4 linked regions of the Anolis sagrei genome follow. The protein of the gene in region 3 interacts with the protein of the main gene of each other region in a biochemical or structural test. Links are inferred from orthologs where the notes say so. Each region holds a gene or a part of one and is shown on either strand. Other genes may lie near its edges. The genes, in order: MEX3C, NHERF2, PTEN and PDGFRB.

Region 1 (7,945 bases), on a different chromosome or scaffold from region 3:
GAAGGTGAGTGGAAAGAAGGAAATGGACAGTTGTGTGTTGAGCTGGCTGAGCCTTGCTTCCATGAATGGAGGAGGAAAAGGTGGAGAGGAAAGGAGGAAATGGATAGTTGTATGTTGAGCTGGCTGGGCCTTGTTTCCATGAATGGAGGAGGAAGAAGCGGAGTATAAAGGAGGAAATGGACAGTTGTGTCTTGAGTGGCTGGGCCTTGCTTCCATGAATGGAGAAGGAAGAAGAGAAGTGGGAGGTAGGAAATGGACAGTGCCTTGATTTGAAAGGGAAGATGGGTCCAAGGGATGAGGGAAATGGACAGTTGTATGTTCAGCTGGCTGGGCCTTGTTTCCATGATGGAAGAGGAAGAAGAGGGGTGGAAACGACGAAATGTACAGTTGTGTGTTGAGCTGGCTGGGCCTTGCTTCCATGAATGGAGAAGGAAGAAGAGAAGTGGGAGGTAGGAAATGGACAGTTGTGGCCTTGTTTTGAAAGGGAATATGGGTCCAAGGGACAGGGAAATGGACAGTTGTGTCTTGAGCTGGCTGGGCCTTGCTTCCATGAATGGAGGAGGAGGAAGAGAAATGGAAGGGAGGAAATGGGACAGTTGTGGCCTTGTTCTCAAAGGAGAGGTGGGTCCAAGGGAGTAGGGAAATGGACAGTTGTGTCTTGAGCTGGCTGGGACTTGTTTCCATGATGGAAGGCGAGTGGAAAGGAGGAAATGGACAGGTGTTTTGAACTGGCTGGGCCTTGTTTCCATGAATGGAGGAGGGAGAAGAGGAGTGGAAGGGCGGAAATGGACAGTTGTGTTTTGAACTGGCTGGGCCTTGTTTCCATGAATGGAGGAGGAAGAAGAGAAATGGAAGGGCGGAAATGGACAGTTGTGTCTTGAACTGGCTGGGCCTTGTTTCCATGAATGGAGGAGGAAGAAGAGAAATGGAAGGGCGGAAATGGACAGTTGTGTTTTGAACTGGCTGGGCCTTGTTTCCATGATGGAAGAGGAAGAAGAGGAGTGGAAAGGAGGAAATGGACAGTTGTGTTTTGAACTGGCTGGGCCTTGTTTCCATGAATGGAGGAGGAAGAAGAGAAGTGGAAGAGTGGAAATGGACAGTTGGGGCCTTGTTCTCAAAGGGACGGTGGATCCAGCCAGTCTTGAGCTGGCTGGGCCTTGCTTCCATGGAGGAGGAAGAAGTGGAGTGGAAAGGAGGAAATTGACAGTTGTGGCCTTGTTTTCAAGGGGAAGATGGGTCCAAGAGACGAGGGAAACTGACAGTTGTGTCTTGAGCTGGCTGGGCCTTGTTTTCATGATGGAAGAGGAGTGGAAAGGAGGAAATGGACAGTTGTGTCTTGAGCTGGCTGGACCTTGTTTCCATGATAGAGAAGGAAGAAGAGGAGTGGAAGGGAGGAAATAAGACAGTTGGGTCCTTGTTTTCATAGATGGGTCCAAGGGAAATGGACAGTTGTATGTTGGGCTGGCTGGGCCTAGTTTCCATGAATGTGGGAGGAAGGGGAGTGAGAGGGAGGAAACGGACAGTTGTGTCTTGAGCTGGCTGGGCCTTGCTTCCATGAATGGAGGAGGAAGAAGAGAAATGGAAGGGAGGAAACGGACAGTTGTGGCCTTGTTTTGAAAGGGTAGATGGGTCCAAAGGAGTAGGGAAACAGACAGTTGTGTTTTGAATGGAGGAGGAAGCAGAAGAGTGGGAGTGAGGGAAAGGGAGGTTGTGGGTTGGGCTGATTGGGCCTTGTTATCCATGGGAAGGGGAAAGACACTGACTGGGCCTAGTTTCCATGAACGTTGGAGGAGGAGGTGTCTGGAAGGAAAGGCCTTCCAGCTGCCTGGCTGGCGACTCACCCTGCCGCCCCACGATCTCGGCCACATGCTCGGAGCTGGGCACGGGGACGCACTCGGTGGTGTTGACGCTCTTCCTCCGCAGCAGCGCCGCCGCCGCCGCCTCTCCGCCGTTGAGGGCCGGCCCGCCTCCGCCGCCGCCTCCTCCGGGAGCCGCCACTCCCCCTACTCCTGCTGCTCCCACTCCTGGCTGTGGCGGCGGAGGCCCGTAAGCCTGGGAGAGCATGGCGGCCACCACAGCGGGGGGCACCCCGTCCTCGCCGGGCGCGTAGAGCAGGCCTCCTCCTATTCCCCCTCCTCCTCCGCTTGTGGAGGCCGCGGGGGCCGCCTCGAAGGGCGGCGGGAGGAGCACGGCGCGGGGCAGGAGCAGCAGCGACGCCTGCCCTCCCTCTCCCTCCTCCTCGGCGTTCTCTTCCAAATCGAGGTCCAGGCCTTCAGGCGGGGGCGCGGCCTCCTCTTCCTCCTCCTCCTCGCCGTCTTCTTCGTCTTCGTCCTCCTCCTCGTCGCCGTCTTCTTCCTCAGGAAAGAGCGGTGGCGCGGAGGCCTCCCTCAGGCCCAAGCAGGCCAGGCGCTCCCTCAGGAAGAGCGCCTCCTGGGAGTACAGGCTCTGCGGCCTAGTCGTGGAGGAGGACGAGGAGGGCAGGAGGAGGACCATGTCTCCTGAGGGCGGCGGCGGCGCTTCCTCCTCCTGAGGCGAAGGCGAGGCGCTGCCGCTCGGCATGGCCGCCCAGGGCAGCTCGGCTAGGCCCCACGGAGGCGGCGGAGGAGGAGGAGGTGGCGGCGAGGAAGGCGGAGGCCGGTCAGGCCCTCGGAGGAGGCGGCGGCGGCGACGACATGGCGACGGCGGCTCCCCTCTCGGTGCTGCTCCTGCTCCTTCTTCTTCCTCCTCCTCCGCCTCCTCCTCGTCGCCGTCGCTGCTGCCGCCAGGGCCTTCCTCGCCGCCCTCAGCGCGCCTCCCTTTGTTCCATGGCAGCAGCGCCGCCCGCTCCCCCTCGCCCTCCTCCTGCTCCTCCTGTCCCTCCTCCTCCTGCTCCGGCTCTTTCTCTCCCTCTCCGGCTCCTCGGGAAGAAGAAGAAGGGGAAGAAGGCGGCGGTGGCGATGGCGGATCCAGCCCCGCCTCCTCCTCCGCCTCTTCCTCCGCCTCCTCCTCCTCGGCCGACCGCATCCACGCGCCACGCCCGCCGCCGCCTCGTTGCTTCCCTGCCTCTGCCCGCCCTCTCGCCGCGGCCAAAACCCACTCCCGAGACCCCGGCCGGGGCAGGATTGTTGGGTTGGCCCGGCGGGGATTGTGACGGGGTGGAGACAGGCCACCGCCGGGAAAGGGGGAAAGGGCACCCAGGCCTGCCCCGGAGGAGAGGAGAGGGCGGGATGAGGGCCAAAGAGAGGAGGGAGGAAAGAAAGAAAGAAAGAAAGAAGGGGAAGATATACACACACACACAAAGAGAATAGGAAGGTGGCAAGGGAAAGAGTGAGAAGGAAGGAAAGAAGGAAGGAAGGAAGGAAGGGGAGGTGAAGATTATATATATATATACATATACATATATATACACATGAGGAAGGGAGAAAAGAAGACGAAGATACACACACACACACACAAAGAGAATAGGAAGAGGGAAAGAGTAAGGAGGAAGGAAGGAAAGAAGAGAATAGGAAAGTGGCAAGGGAAAGGGTGAGGAGGAAGGAAGGAAAGAAGGGGAAGATATATATATACATATATATATATATACACACACACACACAAAGAGAATAGGAAGGTGGCAAGGGAAAGAGTGAGGAAGGAAGGAAGGAAGGAGAGAAGGGGAACATATATACACACAAAGAGAATAGGAAGAGAGAAAGGGTGGGAAGAAAGGAAAGAAGGGGAAGATACACACACAAAGAAAATAGGAAGGTGGCAAGGGAAAGGTTGAGAAGGAAGGAAGGAAAGAAGGGGAAGATATACACACACAAAGAGAATAGGAAGGTGGCAAGGGAAAGAGTGAGGAAGGAAGGAAGGAGAGAAGGGGAACATATATACACACAAAGAGAATAGGAAGGTGGCAAGGAAAAGAGTGAAGAGGAAGGAAGAAAAGAAGGGGAACATATATACACACAAAGAGAATAGGAAGGTGGCAAGGAAAAGAGTGAAGAGGAAGGAAAGAAAGAAGGGGAAGATATACACACACAAAGAGAATAGGAAGGTGGCAAGGGAAAGGGTGAAGAGGAAGGAAGGAAGGAAGGAAAGAAGGGGAACATATATACACACAAAGAGAATAGGAAGGTGGCAAGGAAAAGAGTGAAGAGGAAGGAAGGAAGGAAGGAAAGAAGGGGAACATATATACACACAAAGAGAATAGGAAGGTGGCAAGGAAAAGAGTGAAGAGGAAGGAAGGAAAGAAGGGGAAGATATACACACACAAAGAGAATAGGAAGGTGGCAAGGGAAAGAGTGAGGAAGGAAGGAAGGAGAGAAGGGGAACATATATACACACAAAGAGAATAGGAAGAGAGAAAGGGTGGGAAGAAAGGAAAGAAATATATATATATACATACACACACAAAGAATAGGAAGAGGGAAAGAGGAAGGAAGGAAGGAAAGAAGGGGAATATATATATATATATATATATATATATACACACACATACATACATACACACATATATACACATACATACATGCATACACATATATATATACATACATATACACACATACACAAAGGATAGGAAGAGGGAAAGGGAAAGGGTGAGGAGGAAGGAAAGAAAGAAGAGGAAGATACACACACACACACAAAGAGAATAGGAAGAGGGAAAGAGTAAGAAGGAAGGAAGGAAAGAAGGGGAAGAGAGATATATACACACATACACACAAAGGATAGGAAGAGGGTAAAGGTGAGGAGGAAGGAAGGAAAGAAGGGAAAGATGTATATATATATATATAGAGAGAGAGAGAGAGAGAGAGAGAGAGACACTCACACAAAGGATAGGAAGAGGGAAAGGGTGAGGAAGAAGGAAGGAAGGAAGGAAGGAAAGAAGGGGAAGGTATACATACACACACACACACAACAGAAGGCAAGGGAAAGGGTGAGAAGGAAGGAAGGGAAAGATATACACACACACACACACTAGCCGTCCCCTGCCATGCATTGCTGTGATCCAGTCTATGTATATGTATTTTCTGTGTGTATATATGCATATATATGTGTCTGTATATATGTGTGTATGTGTATATATATGCATATATGTGTGGTTTTGCACATGCGGTGTAATGTAATTTTTGTTTTTGCCTTTTAAGTCCCTTCCATTGTGTTTTTCAGTGTTTTGATGAGTGGTCACTCGTTGGCCTGAGAGGTGTAATTGTGTCCAAATTTGGTGCCAATTCATCCAGTGGTTTTTGAGTTATGTTAACCCCACAAACAAACATTGCATACATATATATATATATATATATACTAGCCACCCCCTGCCACACATTGCTGTGGCCCCGTCTGTGTTTTGTGTATGTATATATGCATATATGTGTGTGTATAAATGTGTGTTTGTTTATATATGTGGTTTTTGTGCATGCGTTGTAATGTATTTTTTGTTTTTTGGGTTTTTAAGTCCCTTCCACTGTGTTTTCTAGTGCTTTTCTGAGTGATGGTCACTTTGAAAAAACTCCTAAAATTCAACAAAAAATATTGTAGTTAAGATGGTATACAGCAGATTAATAAGGTAGATGTTCAAAACAAGGTGGAGGTGTATATAAGGTGTAATTAGTCCTCTCCATAGGCTAAAGTGCATAGATGTGTTATAAAAAGCTTTTAAAAGGAGAGCAGAGAGGGGGCAATTTTTAATGGGACCAAGAGGAGGGCCTCCTCTGCAGACCGTAGTGCTTGTGCTGGTTTGTACACGGAGATGTGGTTTTTCAGGTAATCTGGGCCCAAACAGTTTAGGGCTTTATAGGTAATGACCAGCACTTTGTATTTAGCCTGTCAGCAGACTGGCAGCCAGTGGAGTTGTCCACTACCTGTACGGTACTACAGTTAGTAATATGGCTGCCGATCCCTGAACCAGTTGAAGCTTCCAAACAGTCTTCAAAGGCAGCCCCACACAGACAGCGCTGCAGTAGTCCAGGTGGGATGTGACTAAGGCATGTGACCCCGATGGACTTCCTTCTGCGTCACAATATTGTTGCTAAACTACCAGAAAATTTGACAAATTCGATGACTATAAAATTAACAGCAGCAATGAAAACAATGGTGTGTGCTTGTAGGATGTGCCGATGAAACAATGTGATTGACAGTGTCATTGTGCTTGAGTAATAATGACATCTCTGACTGGAGTGCAGGCACACCTGAAGACTCAAAAAGTCAATCAGTATAGAGTTTTAACCTTGCAGGTATATCGACACAGTACAGGTAAGGATGAGGTTATATCTAACTTTTGTGGATTCAATTTGCTAATTTGCACCAAGTGACATACATACATACACAATGTTCTTATTCCAAACCAGGAATATTTATATGAAACTAGCTGTCCCCTGCCACGCATTGCTGTGGCCCACATGGGGGTTCTGTGTGGGAGGTTTGGCCTAATTCTATCGTTGGTGGGGTTCAGAATGCTGTGTGATTGTAGGTGAACTATAAATCCCAGCAACTACAACTCCCAATGTCAAGATTTTATTTCCTCCAAACTCCACCAGTATTCACATTTGGGCATATTGAGTCTTTGTGTAGAGTTTGTTCTAGACCCATCATTGTTTGAGTCCACAGTGATCTCTGGATATAGGTGAACTACAACTCCAAAACCAAAGGACACTGCCCACCAAACCCTTCCAGTATTTTCTGTTGGTCATGGGAGAACTGTGTGTCAAGTTTGGTTCAATTCCCTCATTGGTGGGGTTCAGAATGCTCTTTGATTATAGGTGAACTATAAATCCCAGCAACTACAACTCCCAAATGACAAAATAATTTTTCTTTTGAGTGAAGGACATACATTGGGTTGTTAGGTGTCTTGTGTCCAAATTTGGTGTCAATTCATCCAGTGGTTTTTGAGTTTGGTTAATCCCACAAACGAACATTACATTTTTATTTATATAGATAATAATTTTCTACTGAAACTTCACAAAAATTGGTGTCACGATCCCTGATGGTGTCCCAAAGAGTAGTTCATACAACCTGCTATTATTCAGAAAGCCTTGATCTCCAATGATTATTTAAATAAATGATTTTTTTTGCCTCTGACAGGCAGAGGAACCTATTCTCCTGGTCAAGAATATTCCTGGTTTGGAATAAGAGCACGGTGTATGTATGTATGTCACTTGGTGCAAATTAGCAAGTTGAATCCCCAAAAGTTACTGGCCCACATTAATTTTTTATTAACCTTGTCTGGCATATAATCTACTTGAGTACCATTTATGTTCAAGCTCTACAGACCATTATCTGTGCCCCTTTCTGACTTGCAGGAGAAATTGGTCTGTGAAAAACAAACTCACATTGTTATGGAGTAGTTTAAACCCTTCTGTGTCCCATGGGTTGCTCTCTTTGCATTCCAAGGCTGCTAATTTAAGGAATAAAGTGGTGGAAAGAAGGAATAATGTGTTGTTTACTGGGTGGCGTATTTTCATTTTGGTGTAATGTAACTTTAACGTAATGTGACAAGGCAATGTTTTAATGTTACCTATGTTGTAATATTGTTTGTCTAAGTATCCACTTGATCTTGGAAGCTAAATGCTCAGCCCTGGTTAGTACTTGGACTGGATACAAGGTACTGTAGGTTATATTTCAAGGGAAGGAACTGGCAGAGGTGCCTCTGAGTATATTCCTTTCCTGAGAAATTCCTATGAAATTTGTGTTGTTCCTATAAGTTAGCAGGCAACTTGAAAGTGCATACACCAGGGGTCCTCAAATTTTTAAAATAGGGGGCCAGTTCACTGTCCCTCATTTACTTACTACTTAGGCGATCCCTCATTGTCTGAATAAGATTGTCCTCCAAGTTCAGTGGACTGGTGATGGGTACGTACGTAGGTGACTGTGGTGCCCTATTCTTGACCTGCATGTTCTCCCACAGTGAGGGCATCAGTTTCCAGGTGAAAGGCGGTCCCGGTCAGGGTTGGCTTGACACGCCTTCCTCTTGGCACGTTTCTCT
Region 2 (7,797 bases), on a different chromosome or scaffold from region 3:
AGGCCCCTTCCATTTCTAGGACCCTATGATTCAACTGCCCTGTTTCTCCACAAATGTCCATGAAGCTAAATGGCCATCTGTGGGGAGGGCTTGGATGCTGACAGCCTTCCTGTTTAATAGAATGGGGTTGGACTGGATGGCCTTACAGGCCCCTTCCAGCTCTAGGACCTTATGATTCTATTGCTCAATGTCTCGATATTTCTTTTTCCTTGCTAAAAAATGATGGTGAATGGTCTCTAGCTGCAGGAGAGAGATTGGAACCTGCCCCATACATAGACATTTACAGACAGACAGACAGACAGACAGATAGATAGATATGGAGAAATAGGGTCATAGGATCATAGGATGCTAGAATTGGAAGGGGACTCTGAAGGCCCTCCAGTCCGACCTCCTTTGGCAGGGCAGGAAGACCCCATGTGAACCCTCCACACAAATGGCTGGTTAGTGTAATGAACATTTAGAAGACAGATAGAAAGATAGATAGATAGATAGATATACATAGATCGATCAAGAGAGAGAGAGATACAGATAGAGATACACAGATAGATAAACAGATTGATAGATACAAAGATCGATACATAGAGATACACTGATAGATACATAGATAGAAAAATAGATAGATGCACAGATTGATAGATAGATACAGAGAGATATATACACAGATACACAAAGAGATACGAGATATATAGATAGGTAGATAGATAGATTGATAGATTGATAGAGGGATCGATAGATAGATAGAGGATGGATACACAGATTTGGGCCCCATATAAAATCCAGATTATCTGCTTTGAACTGGAGACTCATATAATGCACTTCAAAGCAAATAATGTGGATTTTCTGATTTGATAATCTGGATTATATGACAGAGTAGATCCAGCCATAGAGAAAAAGAGAGATACACAGAGATAGACAAATAGAGATACAGAGAGAGAGAGAGAGAGAGAGAGAGAGATATACACAGATAGATAGATAGATAGATAGATAGAGATACACCACAAAGATAGAGATATGGAGAAGGGGCTTCCACACAGCCATATAACCCAGAATATCACGGCAGATAATCCACAATGTCTGCTTTGAACTGGGTTATCTGAGTCCTCACTGCCATATAACCCAATTCAATGTGGATTTTATACAACTGTGTAGAAGTGGCCAAAGAGAAAGAGATACACAGATAGATAGATAGATAGATAGAGAAAGAGTTAAACAGAGACAGAGAGCAAGGTACACAGACAGAGATAGATAGATAGATAGATAGATAGATAGATATAGATAGATGAAAAGAAAGAGAGAGAGTGACAGAGAGAGTGATAGACACAGAGAGAGTTACACAGAGATAGAAAGAGGGACACATATAGATAGGTAGAGAGAGAAATAGAAAGAGATAGATAGATAATAGATAGAGACACAGACAGAAAGACAGAAAGAGACAGATGATACACAGATAGATAGAGAGATACACAAATAGATAGAGAGATAGACAGATAAAAAGAGAGAGATAGAAAAGGATAGAAAGAAAGACACACAGATACAGAGAAAAATAGAAAGAGATAGATGATAGATACACAGAGATAGAAAGAGAGAGACAGACAGATAGAAAGATAGAAAGAGATAGATAGATGATACACACAGAGAGAGAGAGAGAGACAGAGAGAGAGAGATACACAGAAATAGATAGAGACACACAGATACAGAGAAAAATAGAAAGAGATAGATGATAGATAGATACAGAGAAAGATAGAAAGAGATAGAAAGAGATAGATGATAGATAGATAGATAGATAGATAGATAGACATAGAAAGAGAGACACACACATGTAGACGGAAAGATGGAAAGATTGATTGATTGATGATCGATATTGTAGACACAGAGATACACAAATAGATACAGAGAAAGATTGAAAGAGATAGGTGATAGATACATAGACAGAGGAAGATAGAGAGAGAGAGAGACAGACAGACAGACAGACAGACGAGAGAAAGATAGAAAGGGATAGATAGAAGATAGATACAGAGAGACAGAAACAGAGAGAGAGATACACAGAGAGAGAGAGAGAGATACATAGATAGATACCCCAGGCATGGGCCAACTTTGGCCCTCCAGGTGTTTTGGACTTCAACTCCCACAATTCCCAACAGCCTCAGGCCCCTTTCTTTCCCCCCTCGGCCGCTTAAGCGGAAAAGGAAAGAGCCTGTGGCTGTTAGGAATTGTAGGAGTTGAAATCCAAAACACCTGGAGGGCCGAAGTTGGCCCATGCCTGGTCCACACTGTGGAATGGTTGCAGTTTAGCGCTTGAACTGCCTCCTGGCTCAATATGATTGGGCCCTGGGAGTTGTAGTTTGCCCTCTTTGGAATGGTGGGAGTTGCAGTCCAAAACACCTGGAGGGCCGAAGTTGGCCCATGCCTGAGAAAGGCAGGCAGGCAGGGAGAGCCCCGTCTTTGCTCTTCCCCCCCCCCCCACCCCGCCCGCCCTCTCCCTCCTTCTGACCTGGTGGTGGGTCTCCTTCTCCACGTTGTGCCCGTTGACCTGGACCAGCCTGTCTCCGGCCCGCAGCCCGGCGGCCTCGGCGGGGGAGCCGGGCTCGACCTGCCGGATGAACTGCCCGCTCTTGCCCTTCTCCCCGTGGAGGTGGAAGCCGTAGCCGGAGGGGCCCTTGCGCATGGGGCAGAGGCGCGGGACGGGGGGCCCCGAGGACGAGGACGAGGAGGCGGGCGGCGAGGACGGCGGAGAGCCCGCCGAGGCCGAGGCGGCGCCGCCTTGCTCCTTGGCCATGGCCGCGGCGGGCGGGCGGGCGGGAGGAAGCGGCTGCCGGACGGAGCCAGGCTAGAGAGGGACCCGAGCCCCGGTGCGGATCATGGCCACGAAGGGGAGGGGGAGGAGGAGGAGGAGGAAGGACAACAAGGCCGCCCCGCCCCTTCCCCGCTCGCTCGCTCTCTCTCTCTCGCTCTCTCTCGCTCTCCTTGCTCCTTCCCTCCTTCCTTCATCCACCGGAACCTTCCAGAGGTTGGGAAAAAGGAAGGGGGGCTCAGAGAAAGAGGAGGGGGCGTCCCCTTTCTCTCCTCTTCCTCCTTCCTTCCGTTGTTTCTCTCTATCTTCTCTCTCTTTCTTTCTCCCTCTCAGATACTCTGGATTTTCCATCCTTCCTTTCTTTTCTGCCTCCTTTCCTTCCTTCCTTTCCTTCCTTCCATCCATCCTTCCTTTCTTTTCTACCTCCCTTCCTTCCTTCTTTTCGTTCTTTATTTTCTGCCTCTTTTCTTTCTTTCCTTGTTTCCTTCCTTTCTTTTCTACCTCCTTTCTTTCCTTCCTTCCTTTCCTTCCATCCTTCTTTTCCTTCTTTCTTTTCTGCCTCTTTTCCTTCCTTCCTTCCTTCCTTCCTTCTTTTCTTCCTTTCTTTTCTACCTCCTTTCCTTCCTTCCTTCCGTCTTTTCTTCCTTTCTTTTCTGCCTCCTTTCCTTCCTTCCACCCATCCTTCCTTTCTTTTCTACCTCCCTCCCTCCCTTTCTTTTCTACCTCCTTTCCTTCCTTCCTTTTCCTTCTTTATTTTCTACCTCTTTTCTTTCCTTCCTTCTTTTCTTCCTTTCTTTTCTACCTTCTTTCTTTCCTTCCTTCCTTCCATCTTTTCTTCCTTTCTTTTCTACCTCCCTTCCTCCCTTTCTCTCTTTCTTTACTTATTTCTATCTTCCTTCCTTCCTTTTTCTCTTCACTTATTCATATTTTCCATCCTTTTTCTCTTCACGTTTTTCTTTCTATCTTCCTTCCTTTCCCTCTTTATTTCTCTCTATCTTCCTTCCTATCTTCCTTTCTTTCTCTCTTTCTGCGCTACTTTCCATCTTCCTTCCTTTCTTCTTTTCTCTCTTTCTTCATTTCTTTCTACCTTCCTTAGAATCATAGAGTTGGAAGAGACTTCATGGGCCATCCAGTCCAACCCCCTGCCAAGAAGCCGAAAAATCACATTCAAAGCACCCCTGACAGATGGTCATCCAGCCTTTGCTTAAAAGCCTCCCAAAAAGAAGCTCTCTTCCTTCCTTTCTCTTTTTGTTTCTTTCTATCTTCATTTCTTTCTCTCTTCACTTCTCTCTATCTTCCTTCTTTTCTTTCTGTCTTCACTTATTTCTGTCTTCCATCCTTTCTGTCTTTCTTCATTTCTTCCCATCTTTCTTCCTTCTTTCTATTATCCTTTCTTCCTTTCTCTCTTTGCTTCTTTCTACCTTCCTTCCTCTTCTCCACTTCTCTTTTCCTTCCTTCCTACCCCCTTCTTTCTTTCTACACTTCTCTTACTCTGAAGCTCTTAAATTTCCTTCTTTCTAACTTTCATTCATTCTCTGTATTCTTTCTTTCTACCTTCCTTTCCACCTTTTCCCTTCCCTCCTACCCTTCTTTCTCTTGCCTCCTTCTCTCTCCCATCTCTTCCTTCCTTCACTTCTCTCTACCTTCCTTCCTTCCTATTTTCCCAAAGCTTAAAAACAAACATAACCACCTTGTGCAACCAAATGGGGATTGTAACATTCAAGCCACTTTGGGGAGGCACAAAGCGCATCTTTTGGCAGGGAAGGCAAAACTCCAACTCCCAGGATTCCATAGCACTGAACTAGGTCAGTTCAAGTGGCATCAAACTGCATTAATTCTGCAGTGTAGCTGCATATCGATACTCAAGCCCCTTTCTACCCAGCATGCAAATAATGGGTATTTCTGAGCAAGAAGTAAGCAAAGATTGGAGTTCACACTCATCTGGATGGCCTTTAGAGGCCCCTTCCAATGCTAGGGTCCCAAGATTCAAGTCCCCTGTTTCTCCATATTTCTCTTTCCTTGCACGAGTGACATTGGAACTTAGAACTGGCAGGAAACCTTGGATGTTTTCAGGGGAGCGAAGGTGTTTCAGAATCCACCCCCTTCAATCATTTTGCTGCTCTTTTGTTCGCAAATGGCAAGAACAACACATTAAAGCTTTTGAAGAAAAGTCTCCTGCCGTTCTGCACACCCTGCACAGCGGTCTCATTCCGGAGGCCTAAAGAGCGGTGTGTTCCAGGTGCTTTATTCCGCCCACAGCCTCCATTATGGAGGATTCAGGAGCTGAGTGCTTTGACCCCTTGCTGTCATACAATGCGAGAGGAGTGCTTTGAAGGAAGGATTTGTTCTCAAAGAAGCAATGCAGCGTAGGCTCCCCTTTCTTCCCATTGCCATCATACTGCCAGGCTTATGGATTTCCGGGTTTTCTTATGCAAGGAAAACTTTGACATGGTTTTTCCTATGGTATTCATTGGTGTCCTCCCATCCAAGTATCATCCAAAACTGGCCCTGCTTAGCATTCACAATCAGTTGAGATCCAGGATTTAGGCCTTTCTTTGCTAGTTCCTTCCTATGAAATGCTGCCTATAGCACTTAGATATACATTGGCGGCCTCCCATCCAAGTACCAACCAGGGCTGACCCTGCTTAGCATCTACAATTGGTTGGGATCTGGTGCCTTTAGGGGATTTAGTTAGTTCCTTACTTTGAAATATTTCCTATAGCTCTTAGATATACATTAGCGGCCTCCCATCCAAGTATCAACCAGGGCTGACCCTGCTTAGCATCCACAATTGGTTGGGATTGGGTCCCTTTAGAGGATTTAGGTAGTTCCTTCCTTTGAAATATTACCTATAACATTTAGATATACATTGGCGATCTCCCATCCAAGTACCAACCAGGGCTGACCCTGCTTAGCATCTACAATTGGTTGGGATCTGGTGCCTTTAGGGGATTTAGTTAGTTCCTTACTTTGAAATATTTCCTATAGCTCTTAGATATACATTAGCGGCCTCCCATCCAAGTATCAACCAGGGCTGACCCTGCTTAGCATCCACAATTGGTTGGGATTGGGTCCCTTTAGAGGATTTAGGTAGTTCCTTCCTTTGAAATATTACCTATAGCATTTAGATATACATTGGTGATCTCCCATCCAAGTACCAACCAGGGCTGACCCTGCTTAGCATCTACAATTGGTTGGGATCTGGTGCCTTTAGGGGATTTAGGTAGTCTTTTTTCTTGGAAATATTACCTATAGCACTTAGATATACATTGGCGATCTCCCATCCAGGAACCAACCAGGGCTGACCCTGCTTAGCATTCACAGTCAGTTGGGATCTGGTGCCTTTAGAGGATTTAGGCCTTTCTTTGCTAGTTCCTTTCTGTGAAATATTGCGTATAGCACTTAGATCTATATTGGCAGTCTCCCATCCAAATGCCATCCAGGGCTGGCCCTGCTTAGCATCCAAGCTGAGGCAGAATCTGGTGCCTTGAAGGTATTTAGACTCTTTGCAGTAAATAATAATACATTAACCAGCTTCAGCTTATGGTTTACTTTATGAATGAGAGACCTCCAATAGATCCTAATATTATTCCGCCCTTCCAAACTCAGGGCTCTCTTGATGGAGTCCATTCAGGTCTTCCTCTGGTTTTTCTGCCTTTTACTTTACAAACCAGACACAGAGACACATTAATTACTACCAAGAGGGTTGCACCGTATGGCAAGACTGTGCTGTGCGGTGATATAACTGGAATAAGAACAAGACATTGGATCTTCAATATACTGCAGAGAGCTTTCCAATGCAAGGCTGCCGAAGCCTGGCCAAAATTGATCCAATGCTGCCATCTGCTGATTCAACCATGATAAACTCCAGCAAATCTCCATTTAAAAGTTAGCCAGCCAGATAGAAGTCTGGCTGGATGGAAGTCTAAACAACTCTTAGGAAATATAGTTTGCTGCTGAAGCTAAACTTTTAAGAACTATAGTAAGACCACCCTTAACGGCAGAACCCATATCTTCAGATTCACTTACCCTTGATCATGGAGTAATTAGAATGCACAATTCTAGGCTGTTGTTGTTGCTATTGTTGTTGTTTCTATCCTGCTTTATGTCTCTAAAAAAGAGCCCCAAAGCAGCTAAAAAAGAGCCCCAAAGTGACTTCCTGTAATTTCTCCAAAACATGCTCAATTTCCTATTTGTGTAGTGGTTAAACTAGGACCACTGATAAGAGGGTCCGTGCCTGGTAAGCATATTCTAAACCGAATGGGTCAGGACAGGGAAACAACTCACCAGGATGAAGACAAGCCACAGAGGTTTAATTCAATTAGGCCAAAAGGGATGCAAGTACAAGCAAGATGCTTCAAAAAGTGCAAGCATAACACACAGAGAAAAGCAAGATATCTTATACAGTTTAACAGCTATTCAAAACTCCCACTCCCTCCTCTAATTGGTCAAAAAGGGGACTGGTAAGGATCCATACCCCGATTGGCTGGAGGCTCTACTGATGCTGCCACTTTGGTAGGGAAATGAAGGTCGGGGATAGGCCGGTGAAGGACTAATCATTTGATGTAACACCCCCCTGGGAGGATACATAATCTGTGAAGACAATACCAAGGAAATGTTAATGAGCTTTTGATTCGCTCAACTGTCCAGTTTGATAGCAGACAAAGATAAGAGCTTCCGAAAACAAAGGTGTGAGACTCCTTAAACAAAAGGTGATGATCAGGGCTTGTCTGTCAAGAAAGAGAATTAACAAACACACATACTCTTTGCTTCTGTTTCCACAGGAAACAATCTCTCAGCTTCAAGGGAATCATCTATCTAGATAGTTTTGGGTTTATCTGAGCTGGCATGGGAAGTCACCTATCTCTGCGTAAACATAAACAATTGGTCTGGTGATTGCCTGGCTTGGGAAACAGCCAGAGGGGTTTGCCCATCCTTCATGTTCTTAGGGGATTATCTTTGATAGGTTATGGAGACTTTGCTGTCTCTGGGTCACATTTTATATA
Region 3 (6,871 bases):
GCACTTTTCCAACAGCCCCTCCTCCCTCAGGAAGGTGAAGTTTCACAAGGGCCCCTTCCACACAACTGTATAAAATCCATATTGAACTGCAATTATATGGCAGTGTGGACTCAAATAATCCAGGGCCCTTCCACAGAGCTGAATAAAATCCCACATTATCAAAGCCAATACTGTGGATTATTCTGTCTTGATATTCTGGGAGCCTTTCCACACAGCCCTATATCCCAGAATATCAAGGCAGAAAGTCCCACAATATCAGCTTTGAACTGGGTTATCTGAGTCAACACAGCCATATATTCCATTTCAATGCAGAAAATATGGGATTTTATTCAGCTGTGTGGAAAGGTCCCGAGTCCACACTGAGATAATGTGGGATTTTCTGCCTTGATGTTCTGGGATACAGGACTGTGTGGAAGGCCCCTGGGTTAGCTGAGACCACATTTCCATATATCCCACCTCAAAGCAGAAAATGTGGGATTTTGTCCAGCTGTATGGAAGGGGCCCACAATATCTGCTCTGAACTGGATTCTCGAGACCACACTGCCATATAATCCAGTTCATAGCAGGTAATGTGGGATTTTATTCAGCTGTGTGGAAAGGCCTGAGTCCACACTCAGATATTCTGAGATATAGGGCTGTGTGGAAGGACCCTGGGTTATCTGAGTCCACACTGCCATAACCCTAACCCAGGGCCCATCCACACAGCTCTATATCCCCAAATATCAAGGCAGGAAATTCCACGATATCTGCTTTGAACTGGGTTATCTGAGCCCACACTGCCATATAATCCAATTCAAGACAGCTGTGCGGAAGGACCCTGAGTCTACACTCAGATATTGTGGGATTTTCTGCCTTGATATTCTGGGATATAGGGCTGTGTGGAAGGGCCCTGGGTTGTATGAGTCCACACTGCCATAACCCTAACCCAGGCCCCTTTCACACAGCTCTATATTCCAGAATATCAAGGCAGAAAATCCCACATTATCAGAGTGTACGCAGAGTTCTTCCACAGTCCTATATTCCAGAATATCAAGGCAGAAAATCTCACAATATCTGCTTTGAACTGGGCTATCGGAGTCCACACAGCAATATATTCCAGTTCAATGAAGAAAATGTGGGATTTTATTCAGCTCTGTGGAATGGCCCCGAGTCCACACTCAGATAATGTGGGATTTTCTGCCTTGATGTTCTGGGATATAGGGCTGTGTGGAAGGGCCCTGGGTTGTCGGAGTCCACACTGCCATAAGCCTAACCCAGGGCACTTCCACACAGCTCTATATCCCCGAATATCAAGGCAGAAAATCCCAAATTATGTGAGTGTACTCAGAGCTCTTCCACGCAGCCCTATATTCCAGAATATCAAGGCAGAAAATCCCAAATAACTGAGTGTACTCAGTTCTTCCACACAGTCCTATATTCCAGAATATCAAGGCAGAAAATCCCACAATATCTGCTTTGAACTGGCCAATCTGACTCCACACAGCCATATATTCCAGTTCAATGCAGAAAATGTGGGATTTTATTCAGTTGTGTGGAAGGGCCCTGAGTCCACTCAGATAATGTGGGATTTTCTGCCTTGATGTTCTGGGATATAGGGCTGTGTGGAAGGGATCTGGGTTGTCCGAGTTCACACTGTCATAACCCTAATCCAGGGCCCTTCCACACAGCTCTATATCCCCGAATATCAAGGCAGAAAATCCCACAATATCTGCTTTGAACTGGGCTGAGTCCACACAGCCATATATTCCAGTTCAAAGCAGAAAATGTAGGATTTTATTCAGCTGTGTGGAAGAGCCCTGAGTCCACACTCAGATAATGTGGGATTTTCTGCCTTGATGTTCTGGGATATAGGGCTGTGTGGAAGGGCCCTGGGTTGTCCAAGTCCACACTGCCATAACTCTAACTGAGGGCCCTTCCACACAGCTCTGTATCCCTGAATATAAAGGCAGAAAATCCCAAATTATCTGAGTATACTCAGAGCTCTTCCACACAGCCCTATATTCCAGAATATCAAGGCAGAAAATCCCACAATATCTGCTTTGAGCTGGGCTGAGTCCACACAGCCATATATTTCAGTTCAATGCAGAAAATGTGGGATTTTCTGCCTTGATGTTCTGGGATATAGGGCTGTGTGGAAGGGCCCTGTGTTAGCTGAATCCACATTTCCATATATCCCATCTCAAAGCAGAAAATGTGGGATTTTGCTCAGCTGTATGGAAGGGGGATCTGAACCGGATTCTCTGAGCCCACACTGCCCTGCAATCCAATTCAAGGCAGCTGTGTGGAAGGGCCCTAAAGGAGGCGAAGGCGCAATCCAAGCGAAGGCGACCCACGGGAGGGATACAGGTCAGGTCTAGATCGAAGCCATCCTCCTGGTATCTCCTTTTGTTCCTGCTGACGATCTCTTTGATGATGGCGGTCATGTCTGGGAGCCGGGAGCCGCTGAGGAACAGGGCGGACAAGCACGGCGGCGGCTGCAGGGCGCAGAGGGCGCGGAGCCTCGGCGGAGGAGGAAGAGGCAGAGGAGGCGGAGGAGGGGGAGGCTGGCCCCCTCCCGCTTCGGCCCGCCAACGGTGAGGAGGACGGCGGCGGCGGCGACTGCTGCTGCTGCTCACGGAGCGGCTCGAAGAAGAAGGTGGAGACGATGACGGTAAGGCGGCTGCTGCTGCTTCTCCTCCTCCTCCTTCTTCTTCTTCAGGCGAAGGCCCGGACGCGGCCTGGCCCAGCGGCGGCGAGAGCGTCGCTTCCTGAGGCGAGGAGGAGGCCGAGGAGACTGAGGAGGAGCCGCCGCCGCCGCCGCCGAGGCTCCCTCCTCCTCCTCTCTCCCGCGGGCTCGAGCGGCGGCGGGGCTCCAGGAGGACCGGCGACGGCAGCAGCTTCGCCCGCTTTTCCCCACCCGCCCGAGCGGGCGGGCAGGCAGGTTGCTCCTTCCCTTGCTTTCCGAAAGCGGGAAACGCAAAAACAAAAAAGGACGAAAAAGGAGGCGGGCGGGCCCGAGAAACAGAATTAAAAAATCAATAAAATAGCCCTCTCAGGTCCTGAGGGGAAGGCGGCCTCCTCGCCTCATTCCTCTGCGCGGCGGTTGGGTCGCCTTCCTTTCCTTCCCTTTCCTTCCTTCTTCTTTGCCTTCTGCCGCGCACGCGTAGAAGAGCCGAGCCGATTTTTTTCTCTCCTCCTCCTCCTCCCTCCTCCCTCCCCCCTCCCTCCTTGTCTCCAAGAGAGCGGCTGTTCCTTCAATCGCTGACACCCCCCTTTTTTTTCTTCTTCTTCTTTTCCTTTCTTCCTTTTCCTGACTTTCTTCTCCTTCAAGGCTCACTTGCAGCCTCGCTTGCGCCAGCCAACCATCATGGCTGCAGCTTCCGAAAGAGAGGCAGAGCGAGAGGGAAAAAGGAAGCAAAGGGAGGGGGGGAGAAAAGGAGGGGAGGGGGAGGGAGAAAAAGGAACAGCGCCGAAAGAGAGAGGGGAGGGGGAGGAGGAGGGGGAAAAAAAGTCAGCGGGAACGCATCACTCCGCTCTTGGTGAGCTCCCTCCGCCGCTGGAGGAAAAAGGAGTCCGCCGCCACATCACCGCCTCCAAATCTCTTCCTCCGACTTTTCCTTCCTTTCTTTCCGTTCCTTTCTTTCCGTTCTTCCTTCCTTCATCAAAAGCAGATTCAAGCCGAGAAGGGCGATTGCTCCTAGACTGGAAAAGAAGAAGAGGAGCGCAGGCGTAGAGAGAGAGAGAGGGACACGTTCGGAAGCGGCGGAAGGATATCCCACAGGCGATTGCCTCATCCCAATGACGGGCTAATTCCCCCCGGAGTCACGTGACGGGTGTAAAGCAGAGGAAAGGGAGGGGGCACTTCCCGCTCCTCCGCCTCCTGAGCTGAGGCTGCTTCTGCCCCACTTCTTTCCAAGGGAGGGCTTGCATCAGTATCACAGCCTTTTCTATTGTACACCCCTTGCAATGGCCCTTTTTTTTTGCAGCAGGAGGTGCCTTTGGTCCCCAAGAGCCTCCTTGCAAGGCTTATTGATGCATTGGCCTAGCAGCCACCCTTTCACATTGGCTTTTGTTGTCCTGGTTGCAATCCCTGGTTAGGCTGTCCAGTCTGGGGTTGAGACCTTGCACCAGTGGGCAAAGAGAATCTCTGGGGAGGCCCTGCTCTAGGCCCTACCATTATCACAAGTGAGACTGGTGGGGACGAGGGACAGGGCCTTCTCGGTGGTGGCCCCTCGCCTATGGAATGCACTCCCCAGGGAGATTAGGTCATCAACATCCCTCCTCTCTTTCAGAAGGAAGCTAAAAATCTATATGTGGGACCAGGCTTTTGGGTAAGCTGGCAGATGGACAAAGACAATGATGACCAGAGTAGGAAAGGACAATGACGATGTTAGATGGATTACCGATTTATGAATTGGCGAACATTGACCACAAGATGATTTTATTGCTGCTATTGTACCGTCTTGATTGTTTTAACTAGTTATAACTGTTGACGCTATATTGTAATTTTGTATATTTATTTTGTGAATTGTTGGGCATCGAATTGTGCCTTTTGTAAGCCGCCCTGAGTTCCCCCTAGAGCAATGGTTCTCAACCTGGGGTCCCCAGATGTTTTTGGCCTACAACTCCCAGAAATCCCAGCCAGTTTACCAGCTGTTAGGATTTCTGGGAGTTGAAGGCCAAAAACATCTGGGGACCCCACGTTGAGAACTACTGCCCTAGGGGGTTGAGAAGGGGTAGAAGCACCCCAAATAAATAAATAAATAAATAAATCTTTGCCCATGCTCTCATACCTCACAACCTCTGAGGATGCTTGCCATAGATGCAGGCGAAACGTCAGGAGAGAATGCTTCTAGAACATGGCCATATAGCCAGAAAAAACTACAACAACCAAGAATCAGAACTGCTTCCTGTTGGGTCTTTGTGATTGCATATGAGCCGGCGCAAACTTTAAGATCTTCCGGGGGAGGCCCTCCATTCGCTCCCACCACCGTCACAAGCACAGTTGGTGGGGACGAGAGAGAGGGCCTTCTCGGTGGTGGCCCCTCACCTCTGGAACACCCTTCCTGGGGAAATAAGACAGGCCCCATCACTCCCCTCTTTTCGTAAGAGCCTGAAGACCTGGTGGTTTAAACAAACCTTTGAGAATGACTAGTTCTTGCTCTGCCCCAGATACTGTTGAAATTGGCCATATCTTCTTCTGCCAATTACCCAGGTCACTCTCTTCTGTTAGGCCCTGGAAATGTATAGCCATAGACATGTACAGCCATAGACTAAATCACATTAGCCTGGCCTGGCCTTTTAAACTGCCTTGATCAGACATGATTATTTTAAATATATGTGCTATTGTGGTTTTAATGCTTATACTGTTTTGTTAATTTTATGTTTATGCCTTTTTTTCTTGTATGTATTGATTATGTTACTTGGAAACCGTTCTGAGTCCCCTTGGGGAGATAGAGCGATATATAAATAAAGTGTTGTTGTTGTTGTTCCAGGATGTGGCACTCAAAGGATGCACATCATGGGGATTGCACAGCCCCATGGATACATAGCATGAGGATTGTGGAGATTGTATTGTCGAAGGCTTTCACGGCCAGAATCACTGGGTTGTTGTAGGTTTTACGGGCTATATGGCCATGTTCTAGAAGCATTCTCTCCTGACGTTTCGCCTGCATTTCTAGCAAGCATCCTCAGAGGTTGTGATGTCATCCACAACCTGTGAGGATGCCTACCATAGATGCAGGCGAAACGTCAGGAGAGAATGCTTCTAGAACATGGCCATATAGCCCGAAAAACCTACAACGCATTGTGGAGACTTGGTAACTAGGATGGCATGGCATGGAGATTACAGAATAGACTAGCTTTATTTGTCATTGCGCTATTGCACAACAAAATGACATGCCTTCCCCTGTACGCACCACAAAACAACACACCACCTCCACACAGCCTTCAATGCTACATCGGTGCAAAACCACTGAGTTCAATATAGCCACAGGTCTAGGATAAAAGCTATCCTTCAGTCTGTCTGTCCTTGTCTTTGTCACACTGTGCTGTCTGAATAGAATAAATGATAAAGGAAATGCAGGACTGTTCCCAGAGGAAAATAAGGGAAATAGTGGAAAAGAGATGGATACATGTAGGGGACAAGAGCTATTAAATATAGAATTTTTAATCTACTTTTTGTTAAATTGTTAAAAATATATATACTATTTAAGTCACCTATATTATCTTCTAAACTTCCTCACGAGAAAAAATGGTTATGTTCTACTAGTTTGTACTAAATTTAAAAAAACATTTAAAAAGAGAGATGACCCCAAGGGTACATAGCATGAGGATTGTTGCGCCCCTTGGTACCCAGGGTGGCCTGAAGATTGCACAACCCAATGGTACCTACTAGGGCTGAATACTATGGAGATTGCACCACCCCTAGCTCCCAGGGTGGCATGGAAATGACATAACTCTGGGACCTAGGGCTGCACAGTATGGGGATTATACCACCCTTTGGTACCCAAGGTTGCATGGGATAGGGGTTGATCCCTTAGCCCCCCAGGGATGCGTGGTATGAAGTTTACACAAACCCTGGTACCTGGGATGGTCCTGGAATTGCACAACCCTTGGCACCCAGGGATACAGAGCATGCAGATTACATGGCCCCTGGCACCTGTGATTCTATCAGGATTGCACAATGCCTTAGTGTCCAGAGATGCAAAGCATGACCCTGGATACCTTGTGGGTGGGGATTGCACATCACCCGGCACGTAAGAAAACATAGCATTAGGATTCCATGGCCCTTCTCACCCAGAACTGCATAGTATGGGGATTAAATGAACCCTTGGCACCCAGGGATGAAAGACATGGTGATTGTACAACCTCTGGCATCCAGGAATGATTG
Region 4 (7,364 bases), on a different chromosome or scaffold from region 3:
TCTAGATCCAGGGAAGTCATGTTGCCCCTCTATTGTGCCTTGGTCAGACCACACCTGGAATAATGTGTCCAATTCTGGGCACTGCAATTAAAGGGAGATGTTGACAAGCTGGAATGTGTCCAGAGGAGGGCGACTAAAATAATCAAGGGTCTGGAGAACAAGCCCTATGAGGAGTGGCTTAAAGAGCTGGGCATGTTAAGCCTGCAGAAGAGAAGGCCGAGAGAAAACGTGATGGCCATGTATAAACATGTGAGGGGACGTCATGGGGAGGCTTGTTTTCTGCTGCCCTGGAGACTAGTACGTGGAACAATGTCTTCAAATTACAGGAAAGAAGATTCCACCTGAACATTAGGAAGAGCTTCCTAATTGGAGAGCTATTCAGCCACGGAACTCCTTGCCCCAGAGTGTGGTGGAGGCTCCTTATTTTAAACGGAGGCTTGATGGCTATCTGTCAGGGGTACTTTGAATAAGATTTTCCTACTTCTTGGCAGGGGGTTGGACTGGATGGGCCACAAGGTCTCTTCCAGCTCTATGATTCTAAGTGCACAGGAGTCAAGGGCAACAACATCCTCAAGAATGACATGGAGGATGCCGAGAGCTCATCAGTGCTTTAGGTTCTTAATGCATATAACATGCTTTAGCAGTTTAGCTCAATGATCACCATAGCAACCTAAGTAAACAATAACTACCATAGTAAACTGAGGCAATATTGCTGTTGCAATATGACAGTGTGGACCTGGCATAAAAGGCGAAACTGTCCAGTGAGATGACAGTTGAGTAGAGAATCAAACTGAAGGTTCCTGGCAGATAGCTTTTTTTTTTTTTCTTAACCACTTTGTTACAGCAGTACTTCCTCTGGTAGTTTGGGTCTGGAAAAAGAGACACAAAGTATGGCAACAGTAGCCAATGTCTCTTATTGTACAATGGATATAGCTTTCATGCTGTGAGAAACATTAATGTGTGTTTTACCATCCTGTGGGAGGCTTCTCTCATGTGCCCACATGACAAGCTGGGGCTGACAGACAGGAGCTCACCCCACTCCCCTAAAAGAATAGAAAGAAGAAAGGAGGATCAGGCTGCAGGTAGTTTGAAAAACCTGAGCCTCAGACTCTGGACAGCTACTTAGGCAGACAAATACAGTGAGTCCTTGGTATCTGCTGGGGATTGCTTCCAGAACTCCATTTGGGTACCAAAATCCATGGATGCTCATGTCCCATGATATACAGTGGCATGGTACAATGGTGTCCCTTATATAAAATGGTAAACCAAGGTTTGCTTTTGAAATTTTAAAAATATTTTCAAGCTATTCAAGATGGAATCTGAGGATAAAGAATCCATGGATACAGATAGCCAACTGTAGTGCAACTGTAGTATTGAGTAGCTTCCTGCATTTCCAATGTATATTATGTGACCAGCAGCATTGATGGATAAGACTGAACAACCCCTGTTCAATGTATTGTCGAAGGTTTTCATGGCTGGAATCACTGGATTGCTGTGAGTTTTCCAGTCTGGATGGCCATGTTCCAGAAGCATTGTCTCCTGATGTTTCACCCACATCTATGCTCAGAGGTTGTGAGGTCTTTTGGAAACTAAGAAATTGGGGTTTATATATCTGTGGAACATTCAGGGTGGGAGAAAGAACTCTTGTCTGTTGGAAATTGTGTGATTAAAAACCATGAAAATGAACAAAATCTGGCTACTAGTATTTTTAAAAAACTCTAACATCAGGACAGTAAATAAAGAACACCACTCAGAAAACAGAGGAATTCTGGACATGAATCTATAAGGGGCAGCTAACACCTCCCAACAAAGGATTCCCCCAGGCAGCAACCACCCAAGCATTGAACCTGCAAGGCTATTGAATGCTAATCAAGATGGCCAATTGCAGCACTCACACTTGCCTCAAACAGACAAGAGTTCTTTCTCCCATCCTGGACATCCCACAGATATCTAAACCCCAATTGCCTAGTTTCGAACAGACATCACAACTTCTGAGGATGCCTGCCATAGATGTGGGTGAAACGTCAGGAGAGAATGCTCCTGGAACATGGTCATACAGCCTGGAAAACTCACAGCAACCCAACCATTGTGACTGTGTGAAAGTAGCCTTTCTGATGAAGATGGGGTTTCTTTAGTAGCTCTGAAGTTTTGTGCTTTAGAAAGCTGTTCTCCCATACCAGGATGATGAGTGTTACCTGTTCAATAATCGGTCAAAAACAGCCCTCCCTCACCCCCTAGAGGTGCTGGGTTATGATGCCCATGGTCTCTAGAGGGAGATGCCAGGCTCTTCCTCTCCAGCCCTTGCCAGAAGCCACAGGCTGCCTGCCCAGCCTCCTCCTCCTGATCTTTTCCGGAGCCTAGAGGATGCTCGGGACCATCCCTTGGTATCAACGCTCCCCTGGCTTCTTGGAGGGCCATTTCAGAAGCAAGGGTGGCAAGGCAGGGAGAGGAAGCCCCAGTCCAGCTCTATTCGGCTATAACATCAAGAGAGCTTGGGCAAGTCCCTTCAGAACCGGCCCCAGACCCAGCCAAAGCTCTTGTAGCCCCTTCACCATGCGGCGCCTTTAGGAAAGGGGCGCGAGGGAGCCAAAGCCCCCCAAACAAGCCCGAAGGAAGGTCCAAAGGCGTGCAGGCAAAGGAAAGTGGCCAGGTTTCGCCTCTTGGAAGCTGCCCTGGAAAAGGAAGGGCGCTGCGGGCTCGCGCTCTCCACATCTGGATTTGTTCAAAAGAGTTTCCATTTGCAGCTCTGGCTCTCCGGCTGGAAAAGCAAAGGGGACCGGAGGGGGCTTACCTGGCTCTCCCACACTAGGGAGGGGGCACCGCTTGGCCCCACAGGGCGCCCTGGGCTTCCGCGAGGCTCCTTCGCCCGGCTCCCTCGGAAGTGTCTCCGGAGGCAAGCCCCACCAGCCTGGACTTCAGCTCAGCTGGGCAGCCCTTTCCAAACTCAGGAGGAGGAGGAGGAGGGAGCCAGCCGGGCGCTTGCCTCCTGCTCCCGGCCCAGAGAGGGGGGGGGGAGGGAGGCGGGAGGCGGGGCGGAGGGCCAAAGGGGGCGGGGAGGCAGGCAAGGAGGGGAGGAAGCCAGGAAGGGGTCTCCCGCTGCCTCCCGAGGCAGTCAGCCCGGCCTTCTCGCGCCCCCTCCGAGCACGCGCTCCGCATCTTTGGGCTCAGCGGCAGCAGGAGCAGCAGCAGCAGCCCTTCCCTCGCCTGCCACGGCGCCCCGAGCGCACGGATGGAGAGCGGCTTCTCTTTTGAAACCCTGCTCGGCTCCAACATTTGTTTGGACAATTTGGGGACAGAGAAAAGAAAGCTGGCCTCTTGGCCCTTTGTTGGTTTCCATTGGGGGAAGTTCTGAGGAAGCCCCAAACACCCAGACTTGGGGGCGGGGGGCGGGGATGAAGGAGAGCTCCCTTGAAAAACCCAGCTCCTTCCTTCCTTCCTCCTTCCTTCCTTCCTTCCTTCCTTCCTTCCTTCCTTCCTTCCTTCCTTCCCTTCCTGCCCCATCCTTCCCCTCCCTCCCTCCCTTCCCCTTCCTTCCCTTTTTCCTTCCTTCCTTCCTTACTTCTTTACTTCCCCTCCCTCCCTTTCTTCCCTTCCCCTCCCTCCCTTCCTTTCTTCCCCTCCCTTCCCTTTCTTTCCCTTTTTCCTTCCTTCCTTCTTTCCTTTCTTCCTACCCCTCCTTTCCTTCCTTCCCTTCCCTCCTTTTTACTCCGTTCCTTCCCCTTCCTTCCCTCTTTCCCCTCTCTCCCTTCCTTCCTTCCTTCCTTCCTTCCTTCCTTCCTTCAGACTCAGCCAAACAAATACAAGAGGAACCCAAAGTTTGGCCAAGACGTTTCCCCTCGGGGCGGCTGCCCCCCCTCCCCCCCGTGTGTGTGTGTGAGAAGGCGCCTGCTTTCCCCTCTTGCTTTCTTTCTCCTTTCCCCTCCTCCCTGCCAGCCAATCTGCCTGCCTGCCTTCTCCCCTTTCCCAGGATATGAGGGGATGTGCCGAGAATCCGCTGCCCACGCCAGGCGCTGACTCATGTTTTTATTAAAGAAAGGAGGCCGGGGCCTTCCATCCACGCCGCGGATCCAAAGCCCCGCGGCCCCCTCCTTGACACCCGGGGAAACGCCAAGGGGCAAAGCAGGAGGGCGGCTGGGGGTCCTGCCACTGGAGGCCTTATCGCCAGGGAGGAGGAGGAGGAGGAGGAGGAGGAGGGTGACTGGCTGACTCCGAGGAGCTTCGTCTGCTGGGCGGAGCCGCTGTTTACCAGCGCCTTTCTTTTGGGAACAATGGCAGGGTGGACAGGCCCGAGTGGGACGGGGGTGTGCGTTGCGCCTCGGCCTTGCCCGTTTCCCTTCGGCAGGAGGAGGGCGTGAGCAGGCTCTGTCTCCAGCCCAGCTGCGAGGCCCAAGGAACATAACAGGCCACTCGCGGGCTGAATCCCCTCCAAAGGAAATCTTAGTTCTGCAGAAGAAGTGCAAAGCAAAACCCCAAGGAGGAGGCCAGGCCCCTCTTCCACTTGAGCGTTTATATGGAGCAATGGGCAGCATTGGCTCCCTTGAATTTCTTTTGACTGCAACTCCCATCACCTTTCATCATTGGCTAGGCTGGGTGGGAGTTGTAGTCTAGATGTAACTAGAGCAGGGGCGTCTAACCCATTTTCACCAAGGGCCACATCAGCCATAAGGCCGCCTTCAAAGGGTTGGTTGTAATCTCAAGACTATACATGTAACAGTGTTGCCCTGGCATTGAATGCCTTACAGGCCACATAAAATGACTCTGCAGCCTGGATTTGACCCAGGAGCCTTGTGTTTGACACACAGTGATCTTGAATCTAACCAGTCCTAAAGAACTTGTTCTAAATTGGCATGGGCAAACTTCAACCATCCAGGTGTTTTGGATGTCAACTCCCAGAAATCCCGGCCAGTATACCAGCTCTTAGGAATTGTGGGACTTGAAGTCCAAAACACCTGGAGGGCTGAGCTTTGTTATGCCTGGAACAGGTATGGTGAACAGTTGACCCTCATTACCCACTGAGTCAGCCACCCACAGCTTGAAATTTAAAAGAAAACCCAAAGCCAACCTTCATTTTACCATTTTATATAAGGAACACTTTTTTTTTTACTATGCCATTATATATAATGGGACTGGGTTATCCATCAGTTTGGAAATCCACATGGGCCCTGGAAGCAAACCTCGGCTTATATTAAGATCCCACGGTACTGCCCTATTTGAAAAGTTAAAGAAAACTTCTAAAATGAAAACCAGTACCACAACTTCGCTTCAATATGATATGCATTTATTGTGTTTGCATTTGACAAATCTCAGTGGAATCCACAACAAAACCATAGCTGTGACACCTTTGCTGCCCCCTGGATTTGGAATCTAAGTGTCACATTTTGAGGGAGGGGGGGAGGGAAGGTCACAAAGTCCTTTATTTTGTATTACAGATGAAGGAAGTATTACTGCTTGAGGGAATGTATGAACTGCTTTAAAGTTTTTTCAGGGATCCCTTTTGTGATCTTTTAGACATTTTACTCCATGTTTGAGATATTATTAAGGTAAGCAGCTTATTTATCAAACCTGGGGACGTATAGAACTGATTTCAAAAAACAAATGAGGAACTTTGTTGCCCACATGGGAGACAAAGATTTCTCTGGAAGAAGTGCCTCCCTTTGGTTTGAGTAATGACAATGGAAGATAACGATGCTGGGGGAAATGAAAGGAAAAAGGAAGAGGGACCAACCAAGAGCAAGATGGATGGTTGATATCCTTGAAGTAACTGGTTTGGAAGGGCTGTAGAAGAACATGAAAACTTGAGAGGTATAATTAGCAAAATTTATAAGATACTAATTGAAATGAAGGATGAAAAAATAAAAAAGTGTACCCTTGAGATTTGGGAAGAGGATTTAGGGATGAAAATAAGTGAAACAGAGTGGCAACAGTTATGGGGACAAAGACATTTTAAAAAATTATCGATACGAGTTAAAGAAAATTATTACAAGTTAATATGGAAGTGGTACTTGACACCGGTAAGAATAGCATATATGAATAAAAATAACTCAATAAATTGTTGGAGAGGGTGTCAAGAACCAGGAACATATATACACATGTGGTGGCAATGTAAATATGTAAATAATTTTTGGGAGAAAGTATTTAGAGAAATAGAAACTATAATGAATATGAAAATAGATAAAAGTCCTAGTATAGCCTTACTATCATTATATAACAATAAGCAATTGAAAAAGGAAGATAAAGAAGCGATAACAAACTTACTAACTATAGCAAGACTGCTCATAGCAAGGAATTGGAAAAAAGAAATGAATATACAAATAGAGGAGTGGTATAAAGAAGCATGGAAAATAGCAATAAATGATAAATTGACATGTATATTAAAGGTTTAAAAAGGTACATGGAAACAAAGCGATTTTGATGCTGTATGGGGAAGATTTGTGGTAAATGGATTAAAAAATAAGGAAGGAAAATTACCATCACAAGAAGAAATGAAATTTTGGACAGATGAAATGTAAGAATGGTGGCTTGAGACGGGTGGAGGGGAGCACTGTGGTGATAAAAAGGAAAAAAAGAGAAAGGGGGGGGGGGGGAAATGCCAAAGCAAAACAATAAAACAACATGTTAAAGAGGCTGATGTACAAAATGCAATAGTATGTAATAAATGTGAAAAATCAATAAAAAATATTTTAAAAAAAGAAGTAACTGGTTTGGCCTTGAAGGAGCTGGGGGTGGCAATGGCTGACAGGGAGCTCTGGTCCAGGAGGTCACAAAGACTTGGAAGCGACTGAATGAATAAACAACAAAGACAATGGCAATGGAAGATCACACTCAGGGAGGAAGACTTTATGCTAACCAAAGGTGGATGTTTTGTTTTTCCAAGGTTTTTTTTTTTACTGCATCCAGATAAATCTACCTAGTTTGAGTGCAACCATGTTTTGCTTCATACAGCAAATCCCATCCTAGCTCTGACAATATACATAGACACTTTCTGAGGAATTCACTGCTTTCTTCTTGCAATACGAGTGGAACCTTTCCGGTTCCGGTATGGTGGTCGGCAGCAGAAACGCTGAGCTGCTCAGACCACAAATTAAATCCGAAGGAATCCTGGGTTCCCCCCTCACCGACCACCTTCAAATTGAGGGGGAGAGAGACCCTGAGCCTCAGGCTTCCTGCAGAGGGTCGAAGAGCCCGGGAGAAAGGCCGAGCCGCTTGCCACAGCTGGAACTGCGGCCTGTATCACCCTCCCTGCAACGGGTGGAGCCGCGGCTTGAAATTCGATCTTCACCCGGGAATAGAGCAAAACAAAAAACGGCCACCACTGCCGGCTGGTTTTCGATCACAGCCAGAGTGACTGCTGTCGGGGTGGTTGC

What was found.
Region 1: of the proteins of PTEN (region 3) and MEX3C, one has a biochemical effect on the other in vitro, tested with the Homo sapiens proteins (2 studies listed by BioGRID). The link is inferred for Anolis sagrei from reciprocal best matches to the Homo sapiens genes PTEN and MEX3C.
Region 2: the proteins of PTEN (region 3) and NHERF2 form a complex in vitro, tested with the Homo sapiens proteins (2 studies listed by BioGRID and IntAct, with this or other methods). The link is inferred for Anolis sagrei from reciprocal best matches to the Homo sapiens genes PTEN and NHERF2.
Region 4: the proteins of PTEN (region 3) and PDGFRB form a complex in vitro, tested with the Homo sapiens proteins (2 studies listed by BioGRID and IntAct, with this or other methods). The link is inferred for Anolis sagrei from reciprocal best matches to the Homo sapiens genes PTEN and PDGFRB.

What each region holds. Positions count from the first base shown.
Region 1 is NC_090022.1:286,899,355-286,907,299, reverse strand, and holds the start of MEX3C (RNA-binding E3 ubiquitin-protein ligase MEX3C), read right to left. Parts: upstream 3,019-7,945; 5' UTR 3,004-3,018; coding exon 1,842-3,003; intron 1-1,841. UniProt on the Homo sapiens protein: E3 ubiquitin ligase responsible for the post-transcriptional regulation of common HLA-A allotypes. Binds to the 3' UTR of HLA-A2 mRNA, and regulates its levels by promoting mRNA decay.
Region 2 is NC_090034.1:20,931,695-20,939,491, reverse strand, and holds the start of NHERF2 (Na(+)/H(+) exchange regulatory cofactor NHE-RF2), read right to left. Parts: upstream 3,005-7,797; 5' UTR 2,777-3,004; coding exon 2,492-2,776; intron 1-2,491.
Region 3 is NC_090023.1:182,601,356-182,608,226, reverse strand, and holds the start of PTEN (phosphatidylinositol 3,4,5-trisphosphate 3-phosphatase and dual-specificity protein phosphatase PTEN), read right to left. Parts: upstream 3,014-6,871; 5' UTR 2,424-3,013; coding exon 2,345-2,423; intron 1-2,344. UniProt on the Homo sapiens protein: Dual-specificity protein phosphatase, dephosphorylating tyrosine-, serine- and threonine-phosphorylated proteins.
Region 4 is NC_090022.1:85,965,629-85,972,992, reverse strand, and holds the start of PDGFRB (platelet-derived growth factor receptor beta), read right to left. Parts: upstream 3,009-7,364; 5' UTR 2,792-3,008; intron 1-2,791. UniProt on the Homo sapiens protein: Tyrosine-protein kinase that acts as a cell-surface receptor for homodimeric PDGFB and PDGFD and for heterodimers formed by PDGFA and PDGFB, and plays an essential role in the regulation of embryonic development, cell proliferation, survival, differentiation, chemotaxis and migration.